Linked DNA regions of Alligator mississippiensis. The main gene of each other region encodes a partner of the protein of the gene in region 2 in a complex. Links are inferred from orthologs where the notes say so. Each region holds a gene or a part of one and is shown on either strand. Other genes may lie near its edges. The genes, in order: CWC27, SRRM2, SNRNP200 and RBMX2.

Evidence for each region.
Region 1: SRRM2 (region 2) and CWC27 share a complex: the UniProt entries of both Homo sapiens proteins name them as parts of the minor spliceosome. The link is inferred for Alligator mississippiensis from reciprocal best matches to the Homo sapiens genes SRRM2 and CWC27.
Region 3: SRRM2 (region 2) and SNRNP200 share a complex: the UniProt entries of both Homo sapiens proteins name them as parts of the minor spliceosome. The link is inferred for Alligator mississippiensis from reciprocal best matches to the Homo sapiens genes SRRM2 and SNRNP200.
Region 4: SRRM2 (region 2) and RBMX2 share a complex: the UniProt entries of both Homo sapiens proteins name them as parts of the minor spliceosome. The link is inferred for Alligator mississippiensis from reciprocal best matches to the Homo sapiens genes SRRM2 and RBMX2.

Annotation. Positions count from the first base shown.
Region 1 is NC_081826.1:261,519,799-261,527,188, forward strand, and holds the start of CWC27 (spliceosome-associated protein CWC27 homolog), read right to left. Parts: upstream 3,009-7,390; 5' UTR 2,927-3,008; coding exon 2,885-2,926; intron 1-2,884. Other genes in the region: protein SREK1IP1, read left to right, coding at 3,255-3,267. UniProt on the Homo sapiens protein: As part of the spliceosome, plays a role in pre-mRNA splicing. Probable inactive PPIase with no peptidyl-prolyl cis-trans isomerase activity. As a component of the minor spliceosome, involved in the splicing of U12-type introns in pre-mRNAs.
Region 2 is NC_081830.1:700,613-708,569, reverse strand, and holds the start of SRRM2 (serine/arginine repetitive matrix protein 2), read left to right. Parts: upstream 1-4,939; 5' UTR 4,940-5,042; intron 5,043-5,611; 5' UTR 5,612-5,642; coding exon 5,643-5,869; intron 5,870-6,779; coding exon 6,780-6,884; intron 6,885-7,282; coding exon 7,283-7,444; intron 7,445-7,681; coding exon 7,682-7,759; intron 7,760-7,850; coding exon 7,851-7,913; intron 7,914-7,957. UniProt on the Homo sapiens protein: Required for pre-mRNA splicing as component of the spliceosome. As a component of the minor spliceosome, involved in the splicing of U12-type introns in pre-mRNAs.
Region 3 is NC_081830.1:10,327,536-10,334,488, forward strand, and holds the start of SNRNP200 (U5 small nuclear ribonucleoprotein 200 kDa helicase), read left to right. Parts: upstream 1-3,942; 5' UTR 3,943-4,033; coding exon 4,034-4,078; intron 4,079-6,953. Other genes in the region: STARD7 (stAR-related lipid transfer protein 7, mitochondrial), read right to left, coding at 3,050-3,312. UniProt on the Homo sapiens protein: Catalyzes the ATP-dependent unwinding of U4/U6 RNA duplices, an essential step in the assembly of a catalytically active spliceosome. Plays a role in pre-mRNA splicing as a core component of precatalytic, catalytic and postcatalytic spliceosomal complexes.
Region 4 is NC_081831.1:40,216,232-40,223,071, forward strand, and holds the start of RBMX2 (RNA-binding motif protein, X-linked 2), read left to right. Parts: upstream 1-3,823; 5' UTR 3,824-3,885; coding exon 3,886-3,936; intron 3,937-4,088; coding exon 4,089-4,212; intron 4,213-6,840. UniProt on the Homo sapiens protein: Involved in pre-mRNA splicing as component of the activated spliceosome. As a component of the minor spliceosome, involved in the splicing of U12-type introns in pre-mRNAs.

The DNA.
Region 1 (7,390 bases), on a different chromosome or scaffold from region 2:
ACTGTCAGCCACCTGGGGCCGCCACATGAAGCCCAGACCTTGGCAGCAGCAGAACATGAGGCTGCTGGTGGCCATGCCGGTTTACCTTATACATGTTCCTGAGCCCCAGCCCCCTTCCCTGGTGCTGTTCCTGAGCCCCCGCCTCACCTCAGCCCATCCCCACACTAGGCAGGAGGGTCAGGTCAGATACCATGCTCAGCGCACCCCTGCAGCCTCCAGAAACTGCTCAGGAGGAACAGCACCAGGTATGTGTAGGCAGGGTGCTGCCTCTAATCCTAGACTTCTGCTTCTATTTTAGGCAACTGGCAGGGACAGCCCATGAAATTGGGGACTGTCCTGGCCAAAACAGGACATATACCTTAGCTATTGTAGATACCCACCAGGACCATCCTCCTTGCTGTTTTCCTCTTTTACCTTAAATCCAAGACTCTAAACAGGACCTCAGAACAAGTACATGTATTTTTAACATGCAAAATATACTGCAACTGAACATTTGCAGATGAAGTCTCTGATCAAATCACACCATAGTTTGAATGAAAAAATATTTTCCTTCTCCAATCTGAGAAATGCAGAGGCAGAAGTGGAAGATCGGTTTGGATTTGCAGCAGCAACAGCAGCCATAACATACTGGCTGTCGACTTTTCTCCCCTCAAAGTGGTGCTGATACACAAGATATAGCTCTGAATTAAAGCATGTGATAAGAATTTATCATTGGTGACTTGGCATGTGACACTTGTGTGCATCATTTTATCTCATTATACAAGGGGTTGGCAACCTATGGCTCAGGGCACTGACATTACACTTGTGCTACGGCAGCAGTGGAGGCATCCACAGGCTTGTAACCCCTGCCCTGTTCCATATTCCCTCCGTAGCACCTGCTGATCACCAGCAAACACAGATTTGTGGGTCACAGCAGAGAGCTGGGTTGCCAGCAGAAGCTTGTAATGGCAAAATGTTGCAAATCCATGCTTTTTATCAACATCCTCTACTTCTTTTCTTTTGGCATCTTTCCGTCTATGACAGATGGTAGATATTGCAGCCTATGACATAGATCTGAGGTTTTTTTCAAACTTTTTTAACTAGTGCACCCCTTCTGGTGGCAGCGGCTAGAAATGGGGCGGGGGAGGGCTGGGCTCGCATGTGGAGGCTGCTGCCACTACCCACCACCCCGTGTTGCCACTGTGCCCCGCTCTCCCACAGCCAGTCGGACATGTGGCTCTGAGGGCTGCTGATAGGCCTTGCGCCCGGCCAATCGTGCACCGCCTGTCAGCACCCCATGGAGCCACACATCCATAGAAAAGCTGCGCATAGCAGTGGCGTGTGGTGGTGGGTGGCAGTGGTGTGTGAGCTCCCCCATCCCCTGCGTCCGGCCAGCCAGGCTGCACCTGTGCGGCCCGCAGATGTGCACTGCTGCCCTTGCCCTCTCTGGACCTGCTCCTGGGAGGTGGCGGCATGGGGTGGTGGCCACCGCATGCAAGTGCCCCCGCCCCACATCGAGCCAACCCTAGGGGATGCAGGGCCCAGGGCAAATCAGCCTGTGTGGGGCCCCTTTAACATGGCATGGGGTCATGGGACCCCCACAAAGGCAATGAAATTTGGTGCCCAGGGGCCAAGCAGATCTCATGTGCCCCGACAAGCCGCTCTTCAGCAGATGCAAAGCTGGTGACGTGCTGCGGGAGGATAGCGGGGTGGCAAGCAGCTAGATACTTCTTCTGCGGCGTGGGGCTGAGCTGCCAGCTCCAGGCGGGCCCCATGGGAGGGGCTGTGGCCATTCTGCCCAGCTCTGCGGGGCCCCCCCCAAGCATGAGGCCTGGGGCGGTCGCCCCTGATTTGCCCTACCCAAAGGACAGCCCTGCGCACATCCATCATCAGAGGCGCTGCTGCCCTCGCCCTCCCGCCCCAGCCCTGCCCCTGGGAGCAGGCACAGAAACACACTTCCCCACACCCCCGCCATTCAGGCCCTTTGTGCCTTGCAGCTCTGCAGGCAGGAGGTGTCCGCAGCACTTTCCTGCCATCAGCTATTGGCTGAGGGTAGCAGCCAATCAGGAGACTGCGCTGGGGTGAGGTGCTGCAGTGTGCGTGGGGCCACCCGGTCCCTCAGGTAAGAGGGAACATGTGGGAGCGCGCTGGAGGGGATGCCCCTGCTGTGCCCTGGGGCGCGCTCCGTCCTTGCCTGCCCGTGAGTATCCTCTATGACCTCTCTAAGTACCCCTAGGGGTATGCATGCCCCAGGGCTGATGACCTGACAGATGGTTCGCAGCATCTCATGTGACTGCATATCCTGTGCTAGCCACTGCCCATCTCCGTGCAAGGCACCCACCTTCTGGCCTCCCACGTTCGGACCCTAGAGTGGCCAACCCTCCGGGATTGCCCTGCAGTCTCCAGGAGTCAGATATACATCTCCAGGAGACTGCTAAGAGTCACCTGGGAGATAAATAATACAGCATTCATTAAAATAAATATTAAATGGTGAATCTAATGTATACAGTAGTCCAGTGAGTTTTTAAAATGCAATGGTACATTTGCCTTCCTGAGCGCGGTACAGCAGAGCAGTCATTAATGCACTGCATCACGTGATGAAACCTCAGCTTCAAACAGAGCCGCCCACCCCGTCGGTCCCACGCGGAGTAGCCGGGCCCAGGCCTCACCCCAGCCTGGGACCAGCCCTGTGCCCCGGCCCCGGCCCAGCACACCGCAGGACTGGGCCCGCACGGGGATGTGGAAGCAGGGACCGGGTATCCCGGACGACAGCGCCCACGGGACGGATCCGGCCCCGGCTCCTCGTTTCCCCAGAGTGGCGCAGCCGCCCTCGAGAAGAACGACACGGCCATTCCCCGCTGCTCTTCGCCCCCGGCCCCGGCCCCGGCCCCGGCCCCGGCCGCACCTTGCCGTGCGTAGGCGGCTCCTGGATGTAGATGTTACTCATGCTGCCCCCGCCGCGATCCGGCCGCGCCGCGCCCCTTCCCCCACGGGCCCGCCTAGCTCCGCGCGTCGCCCGCCATGTTGGGCCGTACCACTCAGCTGCGGGGGGCGGGGGGCGCGGGGGATAATGCGGTTGTGATGGGGTCGCAGGCCGCCTGGGTAGGGCGGCGCGCTACCCCCATCTCGCACTCCTAGGCCTCGCAGCTGCTCCCCTCGGGCCGCCCCCGCGCCTCCCTTTCCCCCCCCCCCGCCTGGGCGAGTGGTGCGGCCCACGGCGCGTCGCGCTCAGCCCCGGCCCGGAACAACGCGGCCCGAGCAGGCGGAGGAGGAGGATGGCGCTGCCAGGTGGGCACCTTGTTTGTGGGCAGCGGGTGGCGGCCCCTTCCCCGTGTCCTAGTCCCCCGGCCGGGCTGGGAGCGCCCTGCCCGCAACCGGGGCCAGGTCGCAGCCCAGGCTCCTGGATGCGGGGACTCCCCCTCCGCGCAGGGTGCGGGGAGTTGTCCCCACCTGTGGGGCGTAGGGTTGCCAACCCTCCAGGATCGCCCGGGAGCCTCCAGGAATTGGATACAATCTCCAGGAGACTGCTGAGAGTCACCCGGGAGACAAGTAATAGGGCGTTCTTTAAAATAAACATTAAATGTTGCATCCAGTTTAGGCCCATGGGGTTTTTTTTTTTTTAATGTAATAGTAATATGCATTTGCCTTCCTGAGTGCAGTACAGTAGACTGATCATTAATGTCACTACATCACGTGAGGAAACCTCCTGGAATAGATTCAAACAAAGTTGGCAACCCGAAGTGGGGCATTGCCTTCCTCTGCCCGGCCTGGCCCTCTCCCAGGGTCTCCTGAGCGTACGCTGACCCCCTTGTACAGCAGCCAGACATGGGTTGCTGCGTCCCCTGCTCTGCCTGGGGTAGGTGAGGGTGTGAGGGCCGTGGTGTGTCAGGGTTGAGCTCAGGCTTGTGCATGCACAGTTTAGATGTGGGTTTGTACAGGATGGTTTGGGTAGGGAGGATCCTGCCTGTCAGGCAGGGGTTGGACTAGATGACCAACGGGCGTAGTATGCACTCTAGATTATTTTCTGGTGATGTTTCAGCTCAGTTAAGCAGTCAGGCAACAGCATCAAAAACATTCACAAAGTGAACTGTAAGTCACTTTCAGAAAGCAAATTTTCCCAGATCTACAGAATACCCCACCCGTCAAGGAAAGAAGTTTTAATTGCCAAGCAGGGCTTTGTAAGGGATATGCTGTGGTTTTAAAAATGTTTCCATGCTAGTTTATTGGGCGACTTGTTTTCTTCCTGCCTGTGTGTGGAGCTTTAAAGTGGAGTACAGTTTGTACTGACTGGCCCCGCTCTTTAGGCCTGAAACTCATGTGCCTGGTGAACTAGGACAGCTGTAGAGAGATCTCCAGGCTGTAGGTTTAGTTTTGGAGTATCCTTCTCCTAGGTAGGTTCCCAGACCAGGGGTAAAGAGTTCCACCTGCCCTAGTTATTGGGGTTGGGTCGCTATTTGTCTGAAACCTCACCTTTGACCTTAATGCCATAGGATACCCTACCAAAAAGGCTGTCCAGACAGCATCATTCTCAGGATCATCAGGGCACGCAAGCCTCTCCACCACAACAAGGAAGAGGAGTTTATTGCTTCATAACAAATCAAGCTCGTTCTGCCATCAGTGAAATTGCTGCTGAGTGGAAGTATTGGCCACAATCACGATGCAGAGTAATCCCGAGTTCAGTAAAAACTCATACAGAAAATTTAAACTTTCAGCAGCCTTTTATAATTGGTTTGGGCTTTGCTGGCCTTATATATTCCTTTTTCTAGTGGCCATATCTAACATGACAGCACCCTGAATTGAATTGTTTGCAGGGTTTGAATCCCAGAAGACTGGGTTATATGTCTGTGTGAGCTAGTGGACAAGGTGTGTTAGCTCAAAGCAGCAGGACAATTATAAAGCTCTATGCATGGGCTACCTGCTGGAATGGAACCAAGGGGTGTGTATAAAAGTTATTTTTTTTCACCACTTAAAGCGCTTTATTGCCATGACAGGGGGATAAGCCTGGGTGGAAGGAGGGAGGGATTGAGGCTCCCCTAGTGAGGGAGGAAGGAGTGGGGCTGGAGTTGCTGCCCAGCTAGGATGGGGCCTGGGACCGAAATGTGTGGGCACAGAGTTTGGGCAGAGAGTGGGATGGAGCTGCAGGCGGTTCATTTGGCGGGCAGCAAGGGGCCTGGCTTTCCACTGCTGCCCACATGTCCTCCAGATTTGTGCGCAGGGCAGAAGTGGATGTGGGCTTCTTGCTGCCCTTCCCCTGTGGCCTCTGCGTCTCAGCAGGTGGGACCTGGCGCGGCAGAGTAGGGCAGGGAGGCTTGGTGCTGCATCTGGGGGGCTGGGACAGGAGGCACCTCATCATGGCAATGCGAGGCTCCCAGCTGTGACACCAAGCCTCCCCACCCCACTCTGCCTTGCTGTGTGGGGTCCCACCTGCTGGACCGTGGGGGAAGGGCAGCAGGGCAGAGAGCCCCAAGCCTACAGCAGGCATCCTGCATCTGCCCCCACCACAGGCTCCACTCCAGCTGTGCTCCACAGGTGGCAGCTGGGGCTTGGGTGCTGCTGGGGGAGGGAAGGTAACTGCAGATCCGGGTTCCTGTCCCTGTAGCCCTAGCAGCCGGGGACCCCCTCTGGCAGGACTGGGTGCAGGCAGGGGGCTGTAGGTTGGGAGTGAGTGACACCGGCAGGGTTGGTGCGACTGTGGCTTGGGAGGGAGGGGCAATGGCATGGGCAGGACACTGGCATGTCAGTGCAGCTCCACGCCTCAAAGCAGTGTGGGGAACAGCCACAGCTGGACTTGCATCCTGGTGAGCAAAGGAGGCAGGGGGAGCTCTGATTTTTCCATGATAAAAAAACCCAAAATCAAGTGCCAAAATTTATAGGTATTTAGAATTTATTTATTATAGTGATTGAGGCACTGGTAGGCTTCCAAATTGCTTTTACATTGTAAATGTAAAACATTGTGTTCAACTGATTCTCTCTCTCTCTCTCTCTCTCTCACCTATATATATATATAGAGAGAGAGTGTGAGTGGTGTTTAATTTTAACCACGGAAAAACATGGATTTGGGGTTTTTTTTGATCAGAGAGTCTGCAGCTTTTAAACAGAAAACCAGGATGCCTGGCCATGACTTAATAGAAGTGTATGGATTTACAGTACTTTAAAAATGGATACATCACTTTAAATTACCCCTTGTTAAATGAGTTATTACATTTGAAGCACTGTATTTTACAGCATTTTAGCTTTACAGTGTTTTAAAAAAATTCTGTATACTGGTCAAATTTTTGACCAGTAGAGAAGACTGAGGAGGCTACAGAGTGCCCCCTGCCCCCATAACCTGGAAAGTGCAGTGAGATTCAGAGACCTTTCCCCGCTTCCTCTCCAAACCATGCACTTCTGTCAAGTTTAAGAACACTGTAACCATAGGCGCCAACTTTCATTTTTGCCTAGGGTAGGGGGTGGCCAAGATGATGGATGTGTGCCAGCCCCCAGTATGTGAGGAATGGGGCAGGTATGTGGGAAAGGGGGGTTGTGGGCACAGGTAATGTGTGAGGGGGTGGGAGGGACCATGTGCCTCCCACCAGATTCCTGTGCGCAAAGCAGGGTATGGGGCTGCAGCCTGGCCAGACCAGCCTTGGGCAGGATCCGCTTCAGGGGCTCAGTGGGCAGGACCCAGTACAGGAGGGAGCACCACACTGCCCTGGCCTCCAAGGTAAGACACCCTCTGGCTCCAGCAGCAGCAGGAGCACAATTCCATGCCACTTCCACACCTCACCTTGGTGGCCATGGTGCTCTGTCCTGCGCTGGGTCCTGCCTGCTGGGCCACAGAGGCAGCTCCTACCTGGAGCTGGTCCACCCTGGCTGCAGCCCTGTGCCCCATGTCCTGCTGTGGGTGCAGAAATCTTGGGAGTCACATGCCCCCCGCTGTGTCACCTTCCCCATCCCCCGACTCCTCTCTACCACATTGCCTGTGTTCCCTCGCTCCCCTGATGCATTGCCTGTGCTCCCCTGCCCCTCTCCTCCACATTGCCTGTGCTCCCCCTCTTCCCTGCCACATCACTCTGGTCCCCTTGCCCCTCTGTACTGCATCGCCTGTGCGCCTCCACCCTTCCCAACATGTCACCTGTGCCCCCTCATCACTCGCCCCCATAGACTTACCTGGAGGAAGCTGCTCTTCACCACTGCTTAGCTATCATGTGCTTGTGTCACCCCCTTCCACCTATAGCCCTCCCTGCCCCCCCCTGCCCCAAGCAGCTCCTTGCACCCTACAAAGATAAACCCTGTTCTCATGTTTTTCTCCTTTAAAGGAGAAGCATTATGTAATCTTCAGGTTTGGGCCCCGACAGCCCTCTTCCTGAGGGTAGCCAGGGCCCTCAGGCCTGTACATTCTCAGCACCTATGGCTATAACTTTATAGCTGT
Region 2 (7,957 bases):
TGGGGTAAAAATGGGGAATTCGGACAATTATTTTTAGACTGGAACACTTTGGGGGCAAAAACAGGGAAAAGCAGCCAATGTGGTTCCAATTTGAGTAATTTTAGGGTGAAATGGGGAAAAAGGGGCGAATTTGTGTTGAATTAGATCAACTGTGGGGCAAAAGAGAAGCAATTTGGTCATTTTCAGATCATCTTCGGTCATAAAGGTGGGAAGTATTTGAATTGGGCCCAAAATGGCCAAACTCCTGATTTTCTTCATTTTACCCCAAATAGTTCAAATTGGATCCACATCCAGCCCCAGTTGGGGCCAAAATATGGAAAGAATTGGCCAATTTTCATCCATTTCTGAGCTATTTGTGGGCAAAAAGGAAGAAATCGGCCAGTTTGGGTCCAGATTAAGCCATTTTGGGGCAATGGGAAAAACTGGCCAGTTTGGGGGCCAAAAGGTGGGAAATTAGCTAATCTCGATCCAGTCTAAAGAATTTGGAGTAAAAAATGGGGACATTGGCTAAAATGGCTCGAATTCCAACCCTTTCCCCTTTTAGGCCTTGAACTAGACTGAAACAGGCCAGTTTTGACCCAAAATTGTTCTAATTTGACACACATGGGCCAATCTCCCCCATTTTGGCCCCAAGAATGCCTCAAAAATGAACCTAGAACTGGCCAATTCTGGTTCACTTCTGAGCATTTTGGGGGCCAAAATAGAGAAAATGGGTCAATTTGGGTCTAATTCAACCCATATTGGGGGCAAATGGAGAGATCTGGCCTCTTGCAGTCTCTCTTGAGCTTTCTGGAGGCAAAAAGTGCAAAATAGACTCTTTTGGGTCTATTTTTAGCCATCTAGGGAAAAAAACCAAAGAAATTGGCCAATTTGGGGCCAATTCGAGCAGGTTTGGGGGCAAAAATGGGCCATTTGGGAGCAAAAGTGAGGGATTTGGCCCATCTGAATCCATCATGAGCCATTTTGGGGCCAAAAGAATGAGGAAATTAGCCCCTTTCCCTGGTTTTCCTTCCCCAGGTTTTGCTTGCTTCCCCACTCTGGTCCCAGCCAATCATTAACAAGACCTCATTAACCCGGTTACAAACTCCTGCAAGAGCGTTTCAGGCTGGACGTAAGGAAGAATTTCTTCCCTGTCCAAGCCCCGCGGTCTGGGGCAGCCTGCCATCGGGGGTGGTGCAAGCACCGGCTCTGAACGCCTTCAAGAGAAATGTGCATGCTTATCTCGCCGGGATCCCGTGACCCCAGCGGAGTTCCTGGCCCCGGGGCGGGGGCGGGACTCCATGATCCTCCGGGCTCCCTCCCCACCCGAATGTCTATGAAATCTATGAAACCCGTGACCCCAGGTGACCTGCACACATATATCTGTACTCGCATACACACGCACCCATAGGTATCCATGTGTGTCTGCACACATGTTCACACATGTACCTATAGGAACCCCCTGTTCTCGTATGTACGCACATACTCACGTTTCTGTGTGCATTTGCACACATGCATATCTGTACTCACATGTTCCTATGTGTACACACATACCCATAGGTACCCATGTGTGCCTGTACTCATGTACATGCATACTTGTGTTTCAACGTGCACCTGCACACATGTATATCTGTATTTATGTGTTCCCACATGTACACACATACCCTGAGGTACCCATGTGTCTGTAAACATGTTTGCACACATATCCATAGGACCCCATTTGCACCTATACGCATATGTACACACGTACTCATGTTTCCATGTGCCCCTGCACACATGTACATGTGTACTTAAGTGCGCACACATACCAATAGGTATCCATGTGTGCCTGTACACGTGTTTGCACATGTACCCATATAACCCTATAGGCTGGGGAACACCCTTCTTGTCAACGTGGTGACAGAAGGGGATCTTGGAGTCATTGTTGACTCTAGGATGAACATGAGCCAGCAATGCGAGGAAGCTAACCGCACCTACAGATGCAGCTCAAGCAGGTCCAGGGAGGTGATCCTCCCACTCTATGCGACGCTGGTCAGGCCGCAGTTGGAGTACTGCGAGGCGCCGCACTTTGGGAGGGATGTGGCTAACCTTGAGAGGGTCCAGAGGAGGCCACCCGCACGGTCAGGGGACAGCAGGGCAGGCCCTACAAGGAGAGGCGACGGGACCTGAACCTCTTCAGCCTCCGCAAGAGAAGGCTGAGAGGGGATCTGGTGGCCATCTACAAACTCACCAGCGGGAATTGGGGGAGGCTCTGTTCCCCCAGCTCCTCCCGGGGTTACTAGGACTAACGGGCACAAGTTAGAGAGCAGGTTCAGGCTGGACATCAGGAGACATGACTTTACGGTGAGGGCTGCCAGGCTCTGGACTGGGCTCCCAAGGGAGGCGGTGCTCTCCCCTGCCTCGGGGGTCTTCCAGAGGAGGCTGGACAGATATTTGGATGGGGTGATATGACCCTGGCACCCGTTCCTGCCCGGGGCAGGGGGTCAGACCTGATGATCCGTTTAGGTCCCTCCCGACCCTAAGCACTATACTATGACCCCATGCGCACCTATACTCATATGTATACATGTACTCATATTTCTGTGTGCACCTGCACACATGTATATTTGTGTTTATGAGTTCTCATGTGTATGCCATAGGCACCCATGGGTGTCTGTACATGTGTTTGCACACGTGCCTGTAGAAAGTCACATGTGCCTGTACTCATAGAATCAGAGACCGTGTGGGCTGGAAGGGAGCTCAGGAGGTCACATCTAGTGCAACCCCTGCTCCAAGCGGGACCAGCCCCAACTCCATCATCCCAGCCAAGGCTTCATCCACCCTTGAAGGTCTTCAACACCGCCAAGGACGGAGATCCCATAATCCCTCTTGGCAGCCCATTCCAGCACTTTCCCACCTTCCTTGTCAGAGAGTTTTTCCTAATATCCAACCTCAACTTGCTTTGCTGCAGCCTGAGCCCATTGCTCCTTGTCCTGTCATCTGGCACTACAGGTCACGTGTACAAGCGCCTACTGAGAACAGTCCAGCTCCATCCCCTTTGCAACCACCCTGCAGGCCGCTATTCAGTTCCACCCCCCCCCTCGGTCTTCTCTTCTGCAGCCTCAATGCACCCATTTCCCTCAGCATCTCCTCACACATCATGTCCCCCAGCTCCCCAATGATTTTTGCTGGACTCTCCCTAGTGCTTTCTGCAGTGGGGCCCACAGCTGGACCCAGCACTCCAGATGTGGCCTCCCCAGTGCTGAATAGAGGGGGAGAATCTCTGACCTCCACCTCCTGGCAATAATTAGCCCTGCTCGTTAGCAACCAGGATACCCTATTGGCTTCTATCCAGCTTCTTGCCCCTGTGTCCCAGCACACGGGATTGTCCTGTCCTAAGTCCAAAAATACAGTTGCTAACAGACATATTTGGAGTATACGTAGCACAGAGAGTGACAGGTTAATAACGAGGCATTAATTACCTGCTCTTAATTGTCAGCTGTGTTGTGGCTGTGCTAATGTATATCATTATTAAATGGTATATATACAGCATGTGCATGAGTTACATGTGAGCTGTTTTATGTGTCACAGGCTCTTCACTCGCGTGGGGTCAGATACCCACTTCCAAGTCTCCGTTCCATGTTCTCTGGATGCTCGGTATGACAGGTAACACTCGTGCTATTGTGTGTTGTGACGTGACATGGGTATTACACGTGTCATATATGGCACATGCTATTGTGTGTTATTGCGTCATGGGTATTGCATGCATGCATGTCATGTATGTCACACTATTGTGTTTCATTACATGGCATGGGTATTGCATGTCATATCCAGCACACACTATTGTGTGTGTCATGGGTAGTACATGTATGCATGTCATACAGCACATGTGCTGTTCCATGATATGTCATAGGTATTGCATGCATGTGTGTCATATACAGTGCATACTATTGTGTTCTTACATGTCATGGGTGTTACAGGGCTGTCATATACAGTACATGCTACTGTGTGTTATGTCATAGGTATCACATGCATGTGCGTGTCCTATAGGGTACCTGTGCTATTGTGTGTTATTACGTGTCATGGGTGTTATATGTATGCACGTTGTACAGTATATATACATATGTATATGAATGCACGTGTTGTACAGCACACGGGCTATTCTGTGTTATGTCATAGGTATTGCATACATGTGTGGCATATCTAGATCACGTGCCATTGTGTATTATTACATCACAGGTATTAAATGTGTGTCATATATGGCATGTGCTATCGTGTGTTATTACATCAGGCATTACATGTATGCGTGTATACTATAGGATGCACATACTATTTTCTGTTCTGGCTCATGGGTACTACATGCATGTGGCACATACAGCATATGCTATGGCGGGTTATTACGTCATAAATTTTACATGAAAGTTTAACATGTGTACAAGTCACCAATGGTATACATACTATTGTATGTTATTACAACACAGGTATGGCATGCAGGTGTGTGTTAGACATGTCATGGGCGTGAGATGCATACACGTGCTATGACGTACTTTGCTGTCGTAGCTAGGCCATACTCGCGCGTGCACACGCTACCCGCTCCCCCCGGTCCCTACCCCTACGTGTCCGTGCACGCACACGTGCACACGCAGCTCGACACGTGCGCAGGCCGCGGCCGCCTGCGCAGGCGCACACGGGTCGGACTACATTTCCCAGCGTCCCTTCCCCCGCCAAGATGGCGACCGCTTAGTCCCTCCCACTCATGCGCACAGGACGGGGGCCGACTCCCCAGTGAGGGGACGCGGGGAGCCAGGCCCGGTGCGCATGTGCGCAGCGCTAATCGCCCCCCGCCAGCCTCTGAGGCGCGTGCGCTCCAGGCAGGAGGAGGCCGAAGCGCATGCGCACCGTGGCCTCCCCGACCGGCGCCATTTTGGACTCCGTTGCCCGGCCTGCCCCGCGCGGGGCTTTTCCGGCCCCGCCCCGCGCCGCCCGCGGTCCGCCATCTTCCCGGCCTGCCCCGCGCCGGCCCCAGGCTCCAGCCTCTAGGCCCAGCGTCGCGGAGCGGAGCGGCCTGGTCCGGCCCGGGCCCGGTGAGGGGGGAGGGGGCGTCTGGGAATGAGGGGGGGCTCCTGCGTGGGGGGGAGGAGGGAGGGGGCGTGGAGGGGTGTTGTAGGGGAGAGAGGTCGTGGGGGGCGCGGGGCCGTGGGAAAGGGGTAGTGGGGGCGGTGTTTTGGGCTGGGGGAGGGGCCGTGGAGGTGTTTTGGGGTGGGGGCGGGGTCGTGAGGGGTGTTTTGGGCTGGGGGAGGGGCCGAGGGGGAATCTTTTAGGGGGGAGGGAACGGGGCGGGTGTTTGGGGGCGGGGTCGTGGGGGAATCTTTTAGGGGGGGGCCCGGGGGGTGTTTTGGGGGAGAAGGGTCACGGGGGGGGTGTTCTGTGGGGGAGGGGCTGTGGGGGGCAGGGGCGTGAGCTGAGAGAGGGGGAGTCCTGGGAGGCAAGGGGGAGACATAATGGGGGGAGGGGCTGAGGCCAGCCCCACCCTGGGGAGGAGGTTTGAGGCATGGGGCATTGGAGGGGGCTGGGGGGGTAGGCGGGCAGGTGCTCTGGGAAGGGGGTGGGGCTCCTGGACGTGCCTGGGTTCTTACCCCCCGCCCCCCCGCAGGTCTGGCCGCCCCCCTCCCCCCGGCGGCGCCATGTACAATGGCATAGGGCTGCCCACGCCCCGGGGCAGCGGCACCAACGGCTACGTCCAGCGCAACCTGTCGGCCGTGCGGCACCGGCGGGAGCGGGCTGAGGACGAGGGCGCCCGGGCCGAGCCCGCCTTGCTGAAGCGGCCCAACCAGGACATCCTGGACCATGAGCGCAAGCGCAAGGTGGAGCTGAAGTGCCTCGAGCTGGCTGAGCTCATGGAGGAGCAGGGGTGAGGCTGCTGCCGGGCAGGGCTTGGGTAGGGGCAGTTGGGAAGGTTGTGGGGAGGTCTTTGGGGTAATTATGGGGGTAGGGCTTTGGGCATGGGGTAGCTGGGAAGATTGGGGGGGAGGCCTAGGGGGAGGTGTGGGGGCTGTGGGCAGAGCCAAAGGTGGGCAGCTGGGAAGGTTCGGGGGGGGGGTGTCATGGGGGTGGGGCTTGGGCATGGAGCCAGAGGTATGGGGTAGCTGGGAAGGCTGTAGGGAGGTGTTTGGGGTCTGTGTGGGTGCAGGGCTTGGGGGCAGAGCCAGAGGCACGGGGTGGGGGGTTACTGAGGATTTTGGAGTATGTGTGGGGGTAGGGCCAGGGGTGGGAGATAGGTGGCAGGTTTATAGAGAGGTTGCTGAGGCCTTTGTGGCAGGATGGGGGGGGGCAGAGTCAAGGCATGGGGTAGCTAGGAAAGTTATGTGGAGGTCTCAGGCTGCTGAAGTGGGGTTGGGGGTGGAGCCTGGGAGTAGGGGTGGAGCCAGGGCCTTGGTCAGCTAGGAAGCGCATAGGGACCTTTCTGGGGCATTTGGAACAGGGCTAGGGGCGGGGCTTGGGGGCAGAGCCAGGGGCACTGCGTAAGTGGGCAAGCCATAGTAAGTTCCTGAGACTTCTGGGGCAGGGTTGGCGTGGAGCCGGGGTGGGGGCGGAGCCAGGGTACGGGGTAGCAGAGATGCTTGTAGGGGTGTCTGGGGCTGTTGAGGCTGTTAGGGGTCGAGTTTGCAGGTCAAGGGGCAGAGCCAGGGCACAGGGCAGGTGGGAGTCACAGGAACATATACAGAGGCAATGAAGTAGGTTTGGAGGTGGGGCTTAGGCTTGGGGGTGGAGTCATGGGGGGGTTGGCAAGGCCCCGTTCCCCACTGAAGCCCCGTCCCCAGGTACACGGAGGGGGAGATCCAGGAGAAGGTGGCCACCTTCCGCCTCATGTTGCTGGAGAAGGACATTGGGGGCAAGGACATCGACACCCCTGAGGGGCGCCCCACGTGAGTGACCCCTGATCTCTCACCCCCCATGGCAGTGCCCCTCACTCCTTATCCACAGCACCACCCCCACCACCAGCAATGCCCCTCACTCCTGACCTGCAGCTCCCCCCAGTGGTGCCCCTCCCTCCCAACCAACAGCAACCCCCTTCACCCCTCCACAGCAGTGCCCCTCACTCCTGACCTGCAGCCCCCTCCAGTGGTGCCCCTCGCCCCGACTCCTGACCCACAGCCCCCCTGGCGAGCAGTGCTCCTTGCTTCCAATCATCCCATGGCACTGGAGGGGTTTAAAGCAGGTTGGGGGAATCTGGGAGCCTGGACACCTGGGTCCTCTGGGCTGGGGGACGACAGTAATGGGTGCTGGGTACCTGGATCCAACACCCCCGCCCCCCCTCCTGCAGGGTGACGGAGACCCACCAGCTAGCCGAGGCAACGGAGCGTAAGAACGAGCGACTCCGCGCCGCCTTCGGCATCAGCGACTCCTACGTGGACGGCAGCTCCTTTGACCCCCAGCGCCGGGCACGCCCTGCTCCCCGTCCGCCTGACCCCGTCCCGCCCCACAGGTACCTGGGGATGTGCTGCACACCTGGGTTCTCTTTGGGATGGGGGGTTTTGGTGGGGGGGCCTGGAAACTTAGATTGTATGTGTTTGCATTTGCACCGGACACCTGGGTTCTTTGTTGGGACGGGGTTGGGGGTTGTGCCTTTGTGTGACCCAGATGCCTGGGTTCTCTGGGTGCGTGTCCCAGATGCCTGGGTTGCATGTTTGACTCTCTCTCTCTCCCCCCCCCCCCGCCCCAGCCTGGTGCGAGAGTCCAGCAGCTCCCGGTCTCCGTCCCCCAAGCAAAAGAAGAAGAAAAAGAAGAAAGACAGAGGGAGGTGGGTACCTGGACACCCGGGTTCTCTGGGGTGGGAGAGTAGGGGTCTGGATCCTTGGGTTTTCATCATGCCCTCCCCCTGTTGCTGCTAGGTCAGAGAGCCGGTCACCCTCACGCCGAGAGAGGAAGAAAAGCTCCAAGAAGAAGAAACACCGGTGAGAGCCTCTTGGGGTGGTGGCAGGGTTTGGAGGGGCAGGGG
Region 3 (6,953 bases), about 9.6 Mb from region 2:
CCCAGCCCACTGCATCCATGGGCAAACTGGGGGGAGGAGAGTAGATTAGCTATGGGTACTAGTCCTCCTCCCTCCTGCCTGCCATGTAACCTTACTGCTTAGGTTAGCTGGTAATGCATTACTGGTAAACACACTTCTCATTTAAATGTTTAACCTTTCACATCCTGAGTTCCAACTCTAGCTAGAGATATGAACTTGGGCCTTGGAGTCACCGTCAGCCAAGCTCCAAAAGGCCAGATTTTGGTTCATGAATCTGAAAAAGACATACTTTTAATTGTAATGACTCCAGGGATAACGAGGCAACATCTCTGGATTATGTTTTGGCCAAGTCTGCTGTGGCTTTTATATGAAACAACAAAGGAATGCATATTTTACTCAAGTCACCTTTGGTTTTGCTTTGATTGTAAACTGAATCACATTGTGCCAAGCCCTGGGTACATTAGCAAAGCTTCTAGCTTTCTTGTTATCAGGTGGAAAACAGCTGTTGTGTTTTATGTGTTGACAAGGCATCGCACCACTTGCACCCCCTTTTCAAAACTCTGCATCTGCCCAGGGTGGACCATCAAGACCATTCATAGTTTCATTGCTGGTAGGGTCAGAAAGGACCTGAGCAGATCATCCAGTCCAACCCCCTGCCATGGGCAGGAAAAAGTACTGGGGTCAAACGATCCTAGCAAGGTGTTCGTCTAACCTTCTCTTAAAGACCCCCAGGGTAGGAGCCAGCACCACTTTGATTGGAAGTTGGTTCCAGGTCCAAGCCTCCATGACTGTAAAGTAGCGCCTCCTGATGTCTAGTCTGAATCTACACTCTGCCAGCTTGTGACCAGTATTTCTAGTCACTCCTGGGAGTGCTTGGGGGACCAGAGACTCCCCCAATACCTGCTGGTCCCCTCTGACTAGTTTGTAAATGGCCACTAGATCCCCCCTCAGCCTTCTCTTGTGGAGGCTGAACAGGTTCAGGTCCCTCAGCCTCTTCTCGTAGGGCCTGCCCTGCTGCCCCCTGATCATACGGGTGGCCCTCCTCTGGACCCTCTCCATATTGTCCACATCCCTTCTGAAGTGCGGCGCCCAGAACTGGATGCAGTACTCCAACTGCGGCCTGACCAGTGCCACATAGAGGGGGAGGATCACCTCCTTGAACCTGCTTGAGATGCATGTGTGGATGCATGGCAAGGTGTGGTTGGCCTTCCTGACCGTGTCTCCACACTGTCGGCCCATGTTCATTTTGGAATCAATAACGACTCCAAGATCTTTTTCTGCCTCTGCACTGACAAGAAGGGAGTTCCCCAGCCTGTAGGTATGCTGCTGGTTCTCCCTCCCCAGGTGCAGCACCCTGCACTTGTCAAGTGTTGAAACCCATCCTGTTCTCATCCGCCCACCCCTGTAACCTGTCTAGGTCCAATTGCAGCCTATTCCTCCCTACTAGCGTGCCCACATCCCCCCACACTTTAGCATCATCAGCAAATTTGAACAGGGTGCTTTTCACCCGCTCGTCCAAGTCACTGATGAAGATGTTGAACAGCACGGGTCTGAGGACCAAGCCCTGGGGGACCCCACTGCCCACATCCCTCCAGGTCAAAAATGACCCGTCTACCACCACTCTCTGGGTGTGACCCTCCAGCCAGTTAGTGACCCATTTGACTGTGTAGGTGTCGACACCACAGTCCTTTGGTTTTTTAATGACAATGGGGTGAGAGACGGTGTCAAAGGCCTTCCTAAATTCCAGAAAGACTACATCCACCGCAACACCTGCATCTAAGGATTTTGTGACCTGGTCATATAAGGCCACCAGGTTGGTCTGACAGGACCTGCCTCTAATGAACCCGTGTTGGTTGCCCCTAAACCTAATCTCCCCTGCTGGCCCCTAGTGGGCATGCACCAGGATAACTCTCTCAAAAAGCTTACCCAGGATCGAGGTAAGACTAACTGGCCTATAGTTTCCTGGGTCCTCCTTCCCCCTTTTTTTGAAAATGGGAACCACATTGGCCCTTTTCCAGTCCTCTGGCATCACACCAGAGCACCACGAGTGCTCGTAAAGCCGTGCCAGGGGTCCTGCAATGACCTCTGCTAATTCCCTCAGCGCTCTGGGGTGGAGGTCGTCAGGACCTGCTGATTTATACAAATCCAGCCCCTCCAGAAGTTCCCTGACTAGATCCTCTCTGACCCTAGGCCTGGGTGCACCTCCCCCCGAGGCCTGAGGGGGTCCTGGCAGATGGGCTGACTTGGTCCCTACTCAGGAAAATGGAGGCAAAGAAATCGTTAAATAGGTTAGCCTTGTCGTCTGGTGTGATGACCAGATTTCCTAGCGTGTCTTGCAGAGGCCCCATGTCACCCAGTACCTTCTTTTTGCCCCCTATGTATTTAAAAAAGGACTTCTTGTTGTCCTTGATCCGGGTCGCTAGTCCCAGCTCCATCTCCGCTTTGGCCTTCCTGACCGCCCCCCTGCAGCCCCGAGAAACCGAGGTATAGTCCTCCCTGGTGACGGCCCCTCCCTTCCATTGGGTGTACACTTTCTTTCTAGCTACGAGACGTTCCCAGATGCTTTTGGCGAGCCATGGGGGAGAAACAGTCACGTGGGTGGAGCAGAGAGATCAGGACGAATCAGGGCGATAATAAGGAGCCAGGAAATCAGTCAACTCCCTCAGCGCCACCTGGAGAGTAATGCCGCTGCCAGGACACAGGGTTAAAGCAGGAGTGCTCAGCTCCCGGCCCACAGGCTGGATGCCGCCAACGGACGCCAGCAGGACCCAATATTTGAGGGGGGGGGGGCGGCAGTGGCAACCACTTGTTCCTTCTCTGCTGTCAAAAAAGGGTTGGGAGAGAAAGGAAGGGGAGAGCATGGCATTGTGCACTGGACTGAGCACCTGGGCCCTGATGCTAGCGCCCCAATCCCAGCAATGTGGGGGCCTAATCCCGGCGCACGGACCAGGCCCGATCCTAGCACGTGGACTGGCCCCGATCCTGGCGGCACGGGGGCCCCAGTGGCTCAGTCCGCGGACAAGGGCGCGGCGTCAGGGTCGATGCTGGCGCCATGGGGACCCGCACCCACCTCCGCAGCTCCTCCTCCTGGATCCGCCGCTCCTCCCACACGAAAACGCCAGCCAGCGCGGCCAGCAGGCGGCGGGCGCCGTGTCCGGGGCGGCCCTGACCGCGGCGCCACAGCCCGGGCGTTAGGTCGCGTCGGGCCCTGGCCCTCGAGGCGGCGGGCGGGCCCGGGCTGGGCCGCAGGCGGCGGGGGGCCCAAACGGCCAGGAAGCGGCGGGGCAGCAGCTGCAGCGCGGCCACGGCTGGGCCCCAGTAGCGCGCCCACATCCCTCCGATGCGCAGCGTACGGCCCCTCCGCGCGCCGGCCCCGCTCTTGCTCCTGCGGCGCCGGGCAGGCCGCGCCCCCAATCCCAGGCCCGCCCCCGCTGGGAGACCATTGGAAAGCGGCTGGGAGCAACCCTCCGGGTCCCGCCCCTGCCGGGCTCTGATTGGATTGCGTCTACTTGTGCTGTCCCCGCCGGGAGGTCAGTTGAGCGACTCGCCGGTGATAGGCTGCACCTCTACCACTTCTGCGGGTCCCGTTCCCGCTGGGCGCTGATTGGAAGGTGACTGGCTGCTGGCTAAACTGCGCCGCCAATAGTCCTCCGAGCCCTGTCCCCGCCGGACGCTGATTGGAGCGCAGTGCCGCCGTCGTAGCTGTCAACAGGCTAGGCTGCGCGCGGTCGCCTAAGAGCGCCTTACAGGCAGGAAAGACCGCGGTCTTCGCTCCACCCCCCGAGGGGTGCCCTGCGTAGTGCCTGCCGCTACACAACACCCCTGAGAGCCGGGTCCCCTTTGCCTACGCTGAAAGCAAACAAACTACACCGGGGTCCTTCCGCTGCCCACCGCCCGAGGCTACATCCAGGTCTCAGCCCTGCAGAGGAGGGAGGGAGTGCTTCCGGGACACGCGGAAACACACCGGAAGTCCTTCCCCGGAAGTGCTTGGTGGCGCGGTGGTGCGTATTGCTAGGCCGCGGGCTTGTGAGGCGGCGGCGCCTGAGGAGCTGCCATGGCGGACGTGACCGCACGGAGCCTGCAGTACGAGTACAAAGCGGTGAGTCCCGTGGGGTGCTGGAGGCCGTTGCCAGGATCGGGGCCGGTCGCGCCAGGCCTCGTGCTGCCGGGATCGGGGCTCGTCCAGGGGCTGGGGCACGGGGCGGGGCGGGCTGTGTGTTTCCACCCGTTGCTCTGAGGCCTCCGTCGCACGGTGCCGACATCATGCAGCTTGGGGAAAACTGCCCCTGCCGTCCTCCTCTCACCCGAGTCGCAGAGCAGCGGGGCTGACGGGAACCTCAGTCCGTCCAGAAGGTGTGGTCCAGCCCCGCCTGCGGCAGGCACCGCCTGTTCAAACCACCCCAGACAGATTCGTCTTCTAAACTCAACCTAAGGCCAACACCGGCCCTGAAACAACCCAGACCTAACACCTCACCCTGCCACAGAGGAAACAGGAACCAGAGCAGCCAAGGTCCTGCTGCTGTAACCCTTAACATTGTTAATATTCCCCCCAGTGCCCCACCTGCTCCAGAGGAAGGCAGCCCCTGCGCCCCTCCCCAACCAGTCCTTACCAGTCTGACAGGGGAGGGGGGGAATTCCTTCCTAACCTCACTGCAGCGCCATCAGTCTGACTCTGAGTGAAGGGTCAAGACCTGGGTTTGAGTCCCAGCAGCGTTGGCATAGCCCAGTCACCATCCCCAGCCTGGGCTGCAGCCAACTTCTCTGAGGGAATCTTAAAGCCCCCCTGATTTCTGTAGCAGAAAGTGAGGGGCATCCAGCACAGCCTAGGAAATCCTCGTAGGAGAGCACAGGCATCACTATGCCAAGATCATCCTCGCCCTGTGGCTATATGAATTCTCCTTCAACTCCTCCAGCAATGGGGAGCCCGCACCTCCCCTAAGCACAGGCATCGCTACACCTAGATCATCCCCAACCAGTGACTGTCCTCCCTCTCCTGAAACTCCTCCAGTGATGGAGAGTCCACAGCTCCCCTGGGCAGTCTGCAAACAATCCACCTTTGGAGCAGATGACAGATACAGGGGTGACTGTGGAGGGAAATTTGGAGTGCGGGAGAGATTCACTGCTCACTGAACTAATGCACTGTGTTGCAGCTCCCTCACTTTCTGGTGCAAGTGTGTTTGAGTAGCTGTGGCACCTGCTGCACATTAGATAGTGCAGAGGTCTCTTGCTCTCAAGCTACTTGTGCTGAAGTCAAATAGGGAGGGAACAGCTTCTCTGAGGCTAAACTCCTACGCTGCAACTGTAACTCCAAGCAAAGCTTTTCCATTAATGCCCTTCAGGTATTAGAAGGGGTCCTCCAGGAAGGTAAGAGCCAGGGTGGATTGATTTAAATCAAAGCAATTTAAATCACCAAGAGAAAACTCTATCAAGTTTCCCAGTGATACTTCTTCACATATTTCTTAAACAATGGGACAAATTTGATCACTAAAACATGTCAATTTACAAATCAGTACAGCATTTTACAACATCTGTCCTTAAACTCTCTCTCTTAATTTTCACATTTTATTAACTCTAACAGACAAGTCATCACAACACTAAATGTATGCTGTCCTTAAAACTTCTACAGCTAGGTCTCATCTTCCCCACTCCCACTGCCATTTTTATTCATAGACTGAAACCGAAATACAAGTGTTCCTGCTTTTTCAACTCCCAGTTGACTTCTTAGCTTCTTTGAGTGAATAATACCAAACAATGAAAATATCCTCTCTATGCCTGCGGAGGAAACTACTGCTGTGAAAAGTTGGCTTAGCAACTGAAGGAACTCTATCTCAAGGTGCCTGGCTAATGATTTCCACCAATTCAGGGGAGTGACTTTGTTCAAAACATCATCAGTAAACCATGTACTATTTAAATGGTTCCCCCCCAGCCCTGAAATTTATTATGACTGGCATAACTGAGGAGTGATTTTGAGATGCCCATGCCAAGGCAGCAGCATCTTCAAAAGTTAGGCATCTACCTTTATATCTGGGGTTGAGAATGTTGGCAAGAACATGAGGTGGAGTTGGTGCTTGATCCATTTGCTTCTTTACTGCCTTCAGTTTAACTTTCTGGTTAGGTATTTCTTTTTTTAATGTCTCTTGAAGTGCCTTCCAAATTTCAACAGCATCAGCAATGCAGCAACAACCTCTCTGAAGTTTGTTTAAGGCTATGGATGTAGGCTTCAGTATATTGAGCATATCCTCTACATTCCTCCTTAATCCAATGTAAACAGATCAGTTCTTAATACATTGTTCAACACAATGAACCACAGAATTCCATTGAACATCTTGAGAGAGAGTGAGTTTGGATCCTCCTGCTCTCTTCAGTGAAGCTGAAGCCAAATGCTTGGTACAGAAGTACTTTATGACTTCAACAACATTTTCTTTTATTTCTGAAGAAGTACTTAAGTCTTTGGCTAAAAGATGCATTAAATGGACACTGTAGCCGTATGTTATTAAGGAGCATCCTTCCGTTTCTTCTTCTAAGTATCTTCTCATTTTTGCCAACTTTGCAGCATTATCACTGACAACTGTGCATGTGACAGTTGAATTTTTGTTCACAGTTTATTACAGCTTTCACTGCCACTTCTTTTAAATGTTCTGCTGTGTGGGCATTTCCCAATGTATCTATTGTTTCTGAAACATATGCAGCCTGTTGAGGGATCACCACATAAGGACGTGGCCTTTGACATCCTGATGACATTCACCTGTCTGTGGTTGTCAGGAATGCCTTGACTAGCTAGTCAGACTCTAGTCTCCACCTAATTCTCGCCTGCCATGACTTGATGGAATGTTCTTTTGGGAGGTGATGTTGTTTTCACGAGTTTGATTATAGTGCAAGGTGCCCTCCAAGTGGGGCTCCAACCTCCCCTTTCACCCCAGCCGTACACCTACCAGTTCTTACCATGGTATCGGGTATAATCCAGAATATGTGCA
Region 4 (6,840 bases), on a different chromosome or scaffold from region 2:
CCAGGGCATGGATCTACCCACAACATGTACAACCTGCCATCTGGTCCAGGTGAAATCTGCCCTACCTCCTGATACCCTTGCCTTTGTCAATCAGGTCCCAAGTGGCTCCCCACTCCACCACCTGAGCTGGAGGACACCAAATTGGTCCGCTTTTCCACTGTCCACCTCTATACTCTTGGGCACCACACTGTCCATCATGCTGCCCTCACACCAAGTGGTGGGACCTGCTCGGCGAGGGCGTGGCTGGGGTGTCTGTACTCCACCCTCATCCCACGAGCCACCGAGGACCCCAGCTGGCAGCTCCTCCATGGAGCTGTTGCCACAGGCGTGTATGTAGTGAGCTTCACAGACACCCATCTCCTGCCTCTTCTGCAGGCAGAGGGAGACCCTGGTGCACATGACCCTTGAATGCGCAAGGCTGCAGCCCCTCCACCTCCAGAACCTCCTCTTGAGGTTCTGGTTAAATTTCACCCCCCACCTTTTTGTTTTTGGTCACTCCATCTGTGGCCTCACCAAGTCCTGGGATCTCCTGGGCAACCTCCTCCTGACCCTGGCCAAGTGGGCCCTGTTTTTGACCAGGAAGGAAGCTCTGGCTGGCAAGGTGCCTGGAGATTGCAGGGCTGCTTTTCTGTCACTTGTCTGTGCATGTTTCCAGGCAGAGCACCAGTGGGCAGCGTCCAGCGGCTCCTTGGATGCCTTTGAAGACCAGTGAGCGTGGCCTGGGGGGCTCTGCTCAGTGTTCTCCTCCGGAGAACTTTTCACATTTTAAACCTATGACCCCCCCACGTCACTCCTACCCTTTTCTTCCTTGGTTGTCCCACCAAAAAAAAAAAAAAAAAATCAGTTGCATCTTTCAAACTTAGCCCCCACTACTGTGTGGGGCCAATTAGTTAACTAGATGGGCCCTAAGGCCCATGATCTCTGGAAGATACAAATAGACGGGAGCATCTGAGACCCAGCCAGTTGGTATCTGGGGACACTAGCCCCTTGTGCCACCTGGACTGATGAAGCAGCCCTAACCTAGAGTGGCCCCTGCACTCTCTCTACCCACTGCAGCAGTCAGGCAATGGGGACTGAGACCTGCTGCCACTTGTGACAGCATTCTGCCCCATGGCTGCATGCCTGCCAGACCAAGAGGGGGACTGCATGGCCACCTGGTCTGTGGTATGGGCACCGCAGCAGAGCCTCCTGCGCTTCTGGGCCAGCTGCCAGTGGGCTGTCTGAGCAGTGCCACCTGCAGGCCAACTGTGATCATGTCTTCTGGTGTTCCTGCTCTATCACCTGGGCAGCTATCACCCAGATGTACTCCTTGCAGTGGCCCACTTTGAACTGTCAAAGCATGCACTCCTGGCTCCAAATGACCAGGTCACCCACCTCGTCTGCCCTCCAGCTGTGTCCCTGGTGCTGACCCTGGGCAGGCTCCTCTGCCTGGGTCTCGCCACTTGTCTTACCTGCAGAAATCCTGTTCCCAGTTTAAAAATGGCAAATTCTCTGATTAAACCCCCCCAAATTCTCTCATTAAAATACCCAAATTCTGTGTTCTTCACAACTGAAATGAAATGCTAATATGTATAGAGAGATTAGTTGAGCAATATTTTATTGATATATTTACAATTATAAAGCAATTTGGAAGCCTACCAGTGCCGCTATCATTATAATTGAAATTCTAAATATCTATAAACTTTGGCATTTGCTTTTGGGTTTTTTTAATGTAGAAAAATCAGAGCTGCCTCTGCCCCCTGCATTCACCAAGATGTGGGGCACTGAGCAGCACTGATATGCCAGTGCCCTGACCCTGCCCTTGCCCCTCGCTCTTAATCCACAGCCCCCTACCCCACAGTCCCATCACTTCCTTGATCTGCAGTCCCTGCTTGCCCCCACTAGCTTCCCCATGCCATTCCTGGGAATCCCTCAACTGGGGCTCGGGGACTGGGCTAGTCAAGGCCCTTCCCTTCCAGGCTGGCCTCCCCCTGCACAGGGTGATCTAGGAGGGCAGGGGGGTGCTAAGCCTAGCTCTGGTGGCCTCTCCTACCCAGAGTGCTCCCTCACCCCTGACCCCCATATATATCTCTCTCATATACACCCATGCTGCCACCTCCACCCCTTCCCCCACAGCCCATCACACCTCCTAAGTAGTTACTGGGGCCACATGTCCTATCACTGGTGTGGGCACGAGGCAAGGCTGCAGTGTGGTAGTTGCCCCTGCAGCCATGGCTCCTGCCAGTGGATTCTGTCCCATCCTCTGTGGCCGGCTGGGTGTACAGGGTGTGAGATTTGTTGGGGGGGGGGGGGGGAAGGGGTTGTGGATGGATATGGGGCTTGTGTAGGAGTTTGGGGTATGTGGGTGAGGAGTTTGTGGGGAGACTTTGTGGGGGTGGGAGGCACTGCTTGGGAGGGGTGAGTCCCCTGCCCACTTACTGCAGGGTGCACAGTCCCAACCTGCAGCAGCCATCGGGCACTCAGGCCCAGCCCAGTGCTGTGCACCTTTGGGCAGCACCAGGCTGCTCTGGCTGTCACCTGGGGTCCTGGCACTGCATGCAGGGGCCGTACATTGTGCTGGGCTGGGCCGGGCCCTGCCTCCAAGTACCCCGTGCCCTGTCAGGCTGGGTTGGCTCCATGGAGACGGGACCTGGCCCAGCCCCTGTATGCAGTGCTGGGACCCCAGGTGAAAGACAGAGTGGCTTGATGCTGCCCGAAGGCACGTGCAGCACAGGCAGCGCTGGGTCTGAAGGGGCCAGGGCTGTGCTGCACCCGAGGGCTCTGCTAGCAGCAGGCCCTGAGCACTCAATGGCTGTGTGCCCTGTGGGAACAGGCCCACATAGTTACCTCCCCCACCACCAATCTCCCCACACCTTCCCCATCCCACCCCACATCACTACTTACCTAGGATGGCATCTGGGTCATACTGCAGCCTTGCCCTGCTCCTATTTGCCCCACCATGCTGAAGGGAAGGGGGCAGCCATAGAGACACTCTGGCTAGATGTCAGAGCCTGCTCCTGTTCCCCCCCCCCCTTTTTTTTTTTTTTTTTTTTGATCCCTGGATTCCAGGAATCACATTTAGGGCCTGTGCTGAAAAGATGCAGTATGGGGAACATTTTTTGATCCCAGCATTCCTCTCGCAGCATCTCACACTGCCTTGAGGCGCCTCAACAGGCACGTATGTGCTCACCTGGACATGACCCTAGACAGCAGTGGGCAATTATTTCAGGCAGTTTTGGTTTACTGAGTTTTGGCAAGCCATCAAGGGCCACATGACAGGTAGCCGGGGCAGATAAATATTAATTTTCTACATTTTTTTAGGGTCCCCGCGGGCCGGATAGAATGGTCTGGCGGGCTGCATTTTGCCCACCCCTGCCTCAGAGTCTTGTATGAAGCACTGGCTCGGGGTCTGAGAAACAGACTATGGCTTGTCAGTCTCCTCCCAAGAGGCAAGCACGGGCTCAGAAGCACAGCTTCAACCCGCCCTTCCCCTCCCGCTCGCCCCGTGTCTTTGAGGCCGTGGCGTGTGGCGCTGTCAGCGCAAAACCGAGCCCCTCACGACTCTTCCGCTGCTTCTGCCCTCGGGGCCTGGCGCCCCGCCTCGGCCCGGCCGGCCGGCGCCGGGCGCTGCGCTCCAGCGCGGCGGCTTCTCTCCGCCCGGCGCAGATGCTGCCCGGTCCGGCGCGGCGGGAACGGCCCCGCCTCGGCAGTCTCTAACCCCGGCCGCCTGGGCCGCGGCTCAGCCCCGCTGCGGGGTGGCCAGGGCGTGTTTTGCAGCCATCGTCTGGCCACAGCGGCGCCAGCGCCCGAGACGCGAGACCGTCCCGCGGGGCCGCCCGCGCTGCGCGAGAGCTCGGGCCAGGCAGCCCTCGCGGGAGGGAGCCCAAGGCGTGAGCAGTGCAGCGCATGTGCACGCACGTCGGCGCAGACGCAGTGACCAGCAGCAATCGACATGAAGTAAGTAATGGCTGCGGCGGCGGCGCTGGGGTGGTTGCCGGGCGGGGTAGCGGTAGGGGCCGGGGCCGGGGCCGGGCGCCGCAGGGTTCCGTGGTGAGGGCGGGCGCGGCGGGATGCGGGGCCCTGACATGGAGCCGCTCACCCTGCCGCAGCGCCCTGACCAAGGTGAAGCTGATCAACGAGCTGAACGAGCGGGAGGCGGCGCTGGGCGTGCGCGAGGCGGTGTCGTGGCATGCGGAATACAAGGACAGCGCCTGGGTCTTCGTCGGTACGAACGTGCGTGATGCGAGCGGGGGGCCGGGCCGGGCCGGGCGGCCGAGGGCTGCTTCCGGGAAGAGGGGACTGCCCGAGGTTCCCAGTGCCTGCGGGCCGCTCCCGGTGTCCATCCCCCTCGGGCTCCACCTGGCGCTGTTGCTCACCTGCGGCCTCCGCCCTTCAGAGGGGAGCAGTCTCCTGGCTTCTGCACAGCAGAGTCGACCTCAGTGCACCAGGCTCTGGGTATACAAGTCCCTTAAGCAGCTACAGCCCCAGCACCCTAACTAGCTTGTCTGTCTCCCCAATCGTAATTCATCCAGTCCTCATATTTCCTCCCTCACCAGTGTCCCCTCCCGCTGTTCTTTTCCATTTCTTTTCAGTATAAACTTTTTCTGCCAACCCATTCCTAGCATCTGACAAAGCAGGTGGTTGCCTGTGAAAATTTGTGCCTCTCTGAACCAATTAGCACAGGGAGCAGAAAGCGGAGCAGCTATTTGCCTCTGTGTTGCCTTTCCCCTCCCTGATCTATCTGTTGCCACGTACACAAGGTTCCCATGCTATTGTTTCTGGGGTGTAGATTGTAGCTGTGTTATTCTAAGGACATGGGCAGACAGAGCTGTTCCTAGTGGTGTGTGAGGCCCAGAGCATATCAGCCTGGGCGGGTGGGGGGCTGGTGAGCAGCTGGAGGCGGTGGCAGCAGAGCCAGGGGTGCTCAGCTGCATGGCGGCCGCGGAGGGGCCTGTGCGGCACTGACTCCAGGGCCCCCCAAAGCGTGGGCTCTGGGGCGGTCACCCTGATTTGACCCCGCCCCTAAGGACGACGCTGTTGGCAGACAAGGTTCTTTGGGTAAAGGTAAATCCAATATCTTTTATTACACCAACTCACATAGCTGGAAAAATTCTTCTTAGCAAGCTTTCCGGCACAAACCCCTTCACCAGGCTGAGGAAGCATCTGCAGATGGTTTGTGCTCTTCCTGGATGGAGTGGTAAAGCAGCCAGAGGTCAGTATTTATCTCAGAAAACCAGTGAGTTAAAATATAAATTGAGTTGGTCAGCAGGTGAGACAAATGGGGCGGAGGGGAAGGGGGAATGAATTCCGAACCTATACAGAAAATTCTCAAACAATTGCAACCCATACTAGAAGGAGACCTAATTCTCAAAAAGATCTCATAACCACCCATCCTATCCTTTAAACAAGCACCAAACCTTGCCATCCTCATCACCAGAAGCAAGCTTCCTATGACCCTGTTGCCTTGTGGGGTCAGGCCAACTCTCAGGATCTCAATATTGCGCTGTTAGACAGGAGGGTGTGACACAATTGCACATGTACAAACACACAAATCAATTAGGTGTGTACATACACGCACACTACCAGCTCAGGCACATACACATCCAAACCAGCCTAGGCACATGCATACCTATCACCAAGTACATATACTATACACCCCAAAAGTTAGACACAGATCACTAATTTGTATATCATGCACACAATGACATATATACACACACACACACTCGCCAGTTCATACACATACAACCCACCTACACATACAGGTAAGTTCCTAATTTGGATGGTACAGTGTATATGTGTGTGCTTGGGGTACCTGGGATACTTGGGGGAAGGTTCAGGTGAGAGAGAGAGAGAGAATTAAAGTGTAGGGAGTGAAAGTTGCCAGAACCAGGATTATAACCAGTGGACTATAGAGAAGCTGGCTGAGGAACTGAGGCTTGGGTTTACTTAAGGTAGACTGGGGCTGGAAACTGAGGCAGACACCTGAGATATTGTGGGGGGGGGGAGATAAGTGGTGGCAAGGAGGAGACAGCCAGGAAAGAAACTGAGGCAGAAACCTGGTTGCTCAGGGGAAAAGGAAAAGACAGTGGAGATAAGACAGTGGCAAAGAAACAGGGGGTTTGGAGGCAGAGAGGAGCTCAGGACAGGTGTTGGAGGTGGCAGTGAGCCAGAAGCAGGAGAGGGAGAAATGAGAGAAGTTAGAGGGGTGAGGAGCAGAGATTGGAGCAGGGCCAAACCACAGTAAAGCAAAACCCAACTCAGGGGTCCAAATAACAGGTTTATTAAACAGACAACACACTACACAGCCCCATGAAGTTATTGGTTCACACACAAGAAACTCAGTGGAAGGTTTGGAGTCCAGGTGGGGAAGAAAAGCAGGGTCCAAGTCCTTGGTTGAAGAGAGGGTGGGCATGATAGCTACCTATCCAGGCTGGAAAGGGGTCTTTGTCCAGTAGGTGTTGTCCAGAGGGGGGTTGCCGGCAGGGTGAGTGGCATGGTGCTGGTTCAAATGGAGAGGGCGTCCCAAGGAGTCAGTCTTCACTGCCCCTTTTTATGGGGCAGACTACTTCTGATCTCCTGTGGGAGGGCCTGTCCAGGCAATGCCAGTCCTGTTCCAGAGGGCTCCAGGTGTTCTTACTGAGCATGTGCAGCCTGGCACAATGGTGGGTTGCCTCATCTTTTGTTTCTTGAATGCTGAGGGTGGTTCCAAGGGCTGGGTCCTTGGTCCAGGTATTGGTGTTGATGGTTCAGTCATTCAGGGGGAGCTATTTTTAGACCCACTGCCATTGTTTCTCAAGCACCCTCATTCATCCCCATTCATTCAGGAACCAAGTTACATAGGTGGGGTAGGTGTATGTC